Linked DNA regions of Arabidopsis thaliana. The protein of the gene in region 1 interacts with the protein of each later gene in a pairwise test. Each region holds a gene or a part of one and is shown in the gene's direction. Other genes may lie near its edges. The genes, in order: ERF-1 and AT5G41650.

The links.
Region 2: the proteins of ERF-1 (region 1) and AT5G41650 interact in a two-hybrid assay, tested with the Arabidopsis thaliana proteins (one large-scale study listed by BioGRID).

Annotation. Positions count from the first base shown.
Region 1 is NC_003075.7:9,756,944-9,760,946, forward strand, and holds ERF-1 (ethylene responsive element binding factor 1), read left to right. Parts: upstream 1-2,259; 5' UTR 2,260-2,461; coding exon 2,462-3,268; 3' UTR 3,269-3,448; downstream 3,449-4,003.
Region 2 is NC_003076.8:16,653,015-16,656,460, forward strand, and holds AT5G41650 (Lactoylglutathione lyase / glyoxalase I family protein), read left to right. Parts: upstream 1-1,898; 5' UTR 1,899-1,941; coding exon 1,942-2,105; intron 2,106-2,277; coding exon 2,278-2,410; intron 2,411-2,507; coding exon 2,508-2,564; 3' UTR 2,565-2,846; downstream 2,847-3,446. Other genes in the region: AT5G41640 (hypothetical protein (DUF626)), read right to left, coding at 323-690, 988-1,033, 1,143-1,274, 1,574-1,621.

The DNA of each region.
Region 1 (4,003 bases):
ATATATAGTTAAATTGGTAAAGATCTTAGGCGAAATTTAGAGGTTGTCAGTTCGAGTGACGTTTGGAACGAAACTAACATTACATGCTTTGGTTTCGAATCTGGAGGAATTACGGATTTCGGCCCAAAACCTCATAATATTCAGGAAAAAAAAAAAAAGGATATTTTTTTTTTCTTTCTTGAAACACCATTTCTATTAAAAGTAGTTTTCTTATGCGGGGAAAATGGGATAGTTTTCTTAATCTTTCAACGTACCAACAAACTTTTAAAAGTATTCTTTGTTGCCAGAACAAAAGTATACCATCTTTGTCGAAGAACTCAATTGCAGTGGGAATGCACGTGTGGTTTTGTTTTCACGTACACAGATGTTTGTAGAAAGTTTGAAAATTCTTATGGTCAAAAGTCTCACACGACCGGATTTGGTCAATTTCAAAGCTGATGTGTCATAGACTCATTCACTCATATGCTTCCCCTCTTTCAAATGTATACCATTTTTTTTTGTTAAACTCAATAAATTATTAAGAGAAACTCAAACTATTAAGTATGTAAACTAATGTCTTATATATTCTAATTTTTTAACGTATCTTTGTTTTAACGTATCTTTTAAACTACAGATTCGGATGATTACGAAAATTAATAATTATGAATATTCAAATAAAATGGACAGTAATTCTTATATAAAAAATCCTTTTGTCAATAATCTAACCAATGATTCACTCCAAACTCATCTGACATCTCTATAGGCCCTTATTATGATTGGTATGTCCATTTTGGAAGTCGTCATGACTTATGAGCATAAAATGAATACATGAATACATGTTTTGCAGTTTTTTTTTGCTTCTTAAACAGTTGATGTCTTTAATTTGTTTCTTGTAAGTTTAAGATGTTATCTATTTATATACCTTGTTTCGAAATTTGATTGTCCCATTATGTTTCTGACGTGGAATTAAAACCCAATGAGAATGGGGTCCTCCTGTTAGATTTTCCAACAACGATAAGAATATAGAGGTTGATGTGATTTAAAACCAATAGAGGCAGCGCAATTGAGTAATCATCATCTTACCATCCTTCCTCGAAGTAGTCTTCATTGCAAGTTGGCAAAAGCGAGAGACCCACCCATTCACTTTTTAACTTTTAGTTTAGCTCGACATGAGAGAAATTATATTATGAACAACTATCTTTAGTTTAGCTCACATGACGGGGTTTTTTTTTTGAGAAAAGAAAATTTTGAATTTTTGGTTTATCATACAGGAACTATCTTTCTCCGGCGGGAATTTGGAAGTCATTATGCCCATTAAGGAGTCATAATATATATTTGTAGTTATTATTGTATCTGGTGTCAAACAAAAATTAATGTTAGTTGTACATTGTGAGATCTAAAACCTCGAGAGATGAAGTCTTAGTAATGTTTGAACAAACAATAATCACGTTTTCCATCAAATTCGAGCATTTAAAGTTTATATTACTACATGCCCCAAGATGATACCGTCCATCTCATCCGAAAATATTTCTGAAATTGCGCTAAGACAACAATGTTTGCTCAAATTCGATCATTTAAAGTTTACAAATCTCTCATCACTCTTACAAACTTCTCACACTAAACAGAGGTACATATTTTCTTATAAAGACAAAAGGTTCGAACAGCTGGCTTCTCAACTCGAGTTGTTTGTCAGGGCCTCTCTTCACTAACTACAAGTTGGTACTTCAAATATTGGTGGCTAGCTTCACGTGATATTGTCTACAAATTAAACCCATGAAAAAGCTGCATTAATTGTTCCAAGTGAACCCTGAGGAGTGTCAATAGTCTTTGCTTTAGTGTGATCATTAAACCAAATCTCTAAATTCCTAATTTGTACTAACATTTGGAACGTATTTCCTACTCTTCTCCCTGCTCCAACTCCCAAAAATAAGATTAGTTAGATTTCTATAACTAATATACATGTATACTCCCAAAAACAGTAAAACCATATTAATAAAGCTAATTTTGCATAGATTTATTTCGGTAAACCGGCGGTTCAAGTTGGGGAAAAAAAAGACAAACGGTCTAAAGTCATCCAAAGACAAAAAACCAAAGACAAGTTGAGAGAGACGAGACCAATCACAACATTGCTTCGTAGATTGCGTGACATCATCCTTGACGGCTACTTTCATTTGTGTCTTATTTGGATAAAACGCACGTGTTTAATTCACGAACCTTCATAGCAATAAGAAATTTCCATTACTTTCATATTTTCAACTTTTTTTATTACCCATTACATGCTTAAAATATTAATTCACAAGTCTTTGTCAAAATTCAATATTTTCCAGGTTCATGAACCCTTTTTATCTCAATCTACTCTATAATATCTCCCTATAAATTACAACAAAACCTCTTTATTTTTCATTCACACCGGACATTTTGAAATCTCAACAAGAACCAAACCAAACAACAAAAAAACATTCTTAATAATTATCTTTCTGTTATGTCGATGACGGCGGATTCTCAATCTGATTATGCTTTTCTTGAGTCCATACGACGACACTTACTAGGAGAATCGGAGCCGATACTCAGTGAGTCGACAGCGAGTTCGGTTACTCAATCTTGTGTAACCGGTCAGAGCATTAAACCGGTGTACGGACGAAACCCTAGCTTTAGCAAACTGTATCCTTGCTTCACCGAGAGCTGGGGAGATTTGCCGTTGAAAGAAAACGATTCTGAGGATATGTTAGTTTACGGTATCCTCAACGACGCCTTTCACGGCGGTTGGGAGCCGTCTTCTTCGTCTTCCGACGAAGATCGTAGCTCTTTCCCGAGTGTTAAGATCGAGACTCCGGAGAGTTTCGCGGCGGTGGATTCTGTTCCGGTCAAGAAGGAGAAGACGAGTCCTGTTTCGGCGGCGGTGACGGCGGCGAAGGGAAAGCATTATAGAGGAGTGAGACAAAGGCCGTGGGGGAAATTTGCGGCGGAGATTAGAGACCCGGCGAAGAACGGAGCTAGGGTTTGGTTAGGAACGTTTGAGACGGCGGAGGACGCGGCGTTGGCTTACGACAGAGCTGCTTTCAGGATGCGTGGTTCCCGCGCTTTGTTGAATTTTCCGTTGAGAGTTAATTCAGGAGAACCCGACCCGGTTCGAATCAAGTCCAAGAGATCTTCTTTTTCTTCTTCTAACGAGAACGGAGCTCCGAAGAAGAGGAGAACGGTGGCCGCCGGTGGTGGAATGGATAAGGGATTGACGGTGAAGTGCGAGGTTGTTGAAGTGGCACGTGGCGATCGTTTATTGGTTTTATAATTTTGATTTTTCTTTGTTGGATGATTATATGATTCTTCAAAAAAGAAGAACGTTAATAAAAAAATTCGTTTATTATTATATTTAACCTTCCAATCATTCCATTTATTAGTGGAATCAAACTTTTTTCTAAAGAAAACTATAACATTCGTAGAAAACAAATCATATTCCAATTACAAGTGGGATCATTTTTGTTTAGGAAAATGATAACATTTGTGAGAAAATTCAATTTTCTGAATTTTTAATACATAGTAGAAGAAGATATGTAGACAGATACATATGTACAACACATGAAATTTTTGACTTTCTGAAATAAATTAGTACAATCTTTGTTAATGCTTAAGCAAAAAACGTCACCACAGTTTTAATTAGTTGGTTCGTTAATAACTATTAGTGTTTTAAAATATTATTTTACAACTATTTTAAAATTTATCTGGTGTATTGTTGATGTTAACATTATATTTATTTTAGATGTATCAGTAGACAACCCAATTATTGGAGAAAAAGACAGTCAAATAACTAACAAAAAACAACAACTAAATCAAACAAAAACTGATATAAACATACGACCAAACAGGAGATTCTGATAGAAAGATAACAGCTACAAATAGTAAAGAGATAGTCCCAAGACAACCATAAATAGTATCTTCGACTCTGTGCTTCAAAGGAGCTAGAGAGAATCCGCTGCTGCTACTCTTACCTTGTGGGAGTTGCTGTTCAATATCATTCACAAAATCA
Region 2 (3,446 bases), on another chromosome or scaffold:
AAAAGAAGAAAAAAAGTTGCAAATGCAATGATTAGTTAAATTTGAAATTTTAAATCGCTAGATCGTTAGCGACTTTTTCTTTAGCTACTTAGCTTTGTTAAACTATGAAAACAAACATCTTCATCCAACATGTTGGCTTTGATTTGTGTTAAACAATAATCACACAATTTCATATAATCTAATTTTAACATTTTATATTCACGAACACAAAACACTTGCTATCATACTTTTTGCTTTGGCTTGCTGTTAAAATATTGTCAAAGCAACATTTTTTTGTAGTTCTTTTCCATTGTTTTAGAATTTTTAAACCGTTATTTAAAGGTTAGTACTTAGTAGATTTTATTTTTATTACTAAGTATGTTTCTGGAATATATGAAAAGGACATGTCATTAAGTTTTTGCGTAGGACACTCGTAAATGTCGGACCAGACCCAAATCGGATTTGATAACCTTATTTCGACCCTCGACAATGAAGCGTCCATTATGCTCATTGAAGCTTCGTTTAACAATAGCTTTGCGATCAACATCCTTACCAACCGAGACTCATAAAAGTCCTTGTACACTATGTAGACAATCACATTAATGACATTGAGTGATACCTCATTAGGTGGCTCCACATCTTCACTACTTTCAAAAATTTTCAAGTCGGAGAGATCATGATATTTACCATTGCTCCTATGAGTTGTGGCAACTGCAACTTCCAAATATAGAAGAATCCAGTCATTGACTTGCAGCTTTGATTCCTCCACCACGTAAAATCGCTTTCTATTTTCGAAAATATCCTCCGAGGGACACTTAAGCAAATCACCTTTGACGTAGAAATAGCATTCAGTTATCAAAGCTCCATCCTAAGTGATTTTTCCTCGAGGTCTAGCAATAGGGAATTTCAAAATAAACTTGCCAAAACGTTCTTCATCAACTTTAGTTTGAAAATTCAAAAGTTTGCTGCGAGCTGGATCCATAGCAACCAAAGTTATGTAGTAATTACAAGCAGCATAATGCGTACTCATATTGTATTTCTTTACACGACTAAGCTGTAAATTCTTCCCATGATGATCAAACAAAAAAAAATGAATTGTGGTGCAATACAACAATTGACAAACAAAAAAGAGATCGAGAAGAAGAGTATTGACTTAGAATTACCTTCAACAAATTGTAACGATGAAGACCCATCCTAGCATAAAGGCGGACTAAGGTACAACAAGGTGACCACCTTTTATCACAGATGGATTTTTGAAGTTCAGGACCATCACTCGCTTCTGTAGTATCGAACCCCTAAGATATTCATTTAAGTTATCATTAATCTCTATCTGGTAACCGATTTAAAAACAAATCTCTTAATTATATAAGAAGCTAAGAAGATTACCTTGTATTTCTTCACTCATTTCGTAAAATTTTGACTTATGACGAAAATTATTATTCAAAGCCTCTTTGTTTCAATTGGCAGCGACATCGTCCTCTCCCTCATAAAGCTTGTGTATATGTGTCGTTCCGAAATAAGGAACCCTAGAAGTTTAAGAATTATGGTCAATTTTATTAGATTACGTCCCCAAATTCATCCCTTTGTGTTTTACCTTTTCGCTTTTGAGCCATAACAACATCGTCTGAACCAAGCGGCTCATGCTTTTGTTCCACACAATCAATTTAGGATTGTCCACTCTATTATCTAATCCAGTCCACTGATTTATGGGTTTTATTTGGGCCTTAACAACCCAAAAATTCTCTTTCCTTTTTTTCAAATAAACCAATAGCTATCTCATATCTGGTTTATATTGCAGAGAGTGCGACACGGTACCATTTAGAGGTGAGCCCGAAAGAAGCCCAATAATGTGTATTGGGCCAATCTTTTTTTTGTTTTTGTTTTTGTTTTTTGGGTCAAATGGCCAATCTTTTTTTTGTATTGTGTTTTATTTTACACTCGTTCGTCTTCGTCTAGAGAGAGATGGCGACGGCGTCGTTTAGGTGGATTCTGCAGCTTCACAGAGACGTACCAAAAGCTGCTCGATTCTATGCTCAAGGTCTCGACTTTTCCGTCAATGTCGTCACTTTACGCTGGGCTGAGCTCCATTCTGGTCCTATCAAGCTAGCTCTTATGCAATCTCCTAGGTTTTATCTCCTCTTTTGTTCCATTATTGCTCAAAGCACACAACCTGTTTGATCATTTGCCTCAATGAAAACTTTCTGAGTTTATTCCCTTAAAATAACTTCCGGATTTGGACTTTTGTGTTACACTGTTTATCGCTGAGAAGACCTCTCAAAGACTTTCTTTTTTCCGCAGCAATCATGTTGCTGAGAAGGGATACTCATCGCTTCTATCGTTCACAGTCACTGACATTAATACAACAGTGACTAAACTTATGGCTTTAGGAGCTGAATTAGATGGCACTATCAAGTATGAGATACATGGAAAGGTTACAATTTCTTATGAAGATGTTCAAGTTTCATTTCATACTTACTTGCTGAAATGGGATTTGAAGTATTTTTGCGGTTGTTTTTTTGTTTTACTAGGTTGCGGCTATGAAATGCCCTGATGGTTACATGTTAGGCCTTTATGAGGCTGCATGAGCAAATGAATAGAATTGAAGCCTGAAAGGAAGCCAATTATGCATAGAGTAGATTTGTTTAGAGATCATATCCATAATCTCTTTGAAGCTATTGTATACTTCTTAGAAACCTAAGCCACTATTATACTTTATATTGGTTCATGTTTAACTTGCTCTTCACATTGTTTCTCTAGTAAGCTTTTCTCAAGTCAATTTTTTTCCATTCATTATATATAATATCCTGAAAGTGACGGATTCATTTCTACACAATGCTTTGAAATTGACAAGATCTATTGAAGTGGACTTAATGGAGTTTTGTTTAGTGCTTTTGTAGTTGTTGAAGGGTTGACTAAATGTTGTTAGGTCAGCATTTTACAAAACTGCCCTCAAGTTTTGGAGCATTACTACTTTAGTCCATGCCTCCATATGGTTTATATTGATTTTTATGAAGTGGGTTGATTTTTCAAAGATCTTGTCAAGATTATGATAAATTGGGGACCATTATGTTTGTAGTTGGTTACAAACAAATACAACAAAAATTATGCACCGAATCCTAAATGTTGGACATTACCAATGCACTTTCATCTAGTGCTTAATTACTTAGAGATATTTTGCAATTTAAAATTCTTTTCCAAGTAAAATCTATTAACTTTCATTGATTAATCTTTGAAATTTCGACATGCAATGCAAGAATGGAATCGCCCCTTTCAAATATGACAAAATACTAGGTGGTCAAATCGTGTAACTTAGTATATTTATACATTTCCTCAAATACTTTCGGGACAGTAAAAATAGTTTTGGAGATAGTTAAATTTGATAGCACTCTAAAATACAAGTATTAAATGGTAGTCTTCACAAAGGTTATATATTTGTTGAAAATTGCGCACTGAATGCATGTTTGATC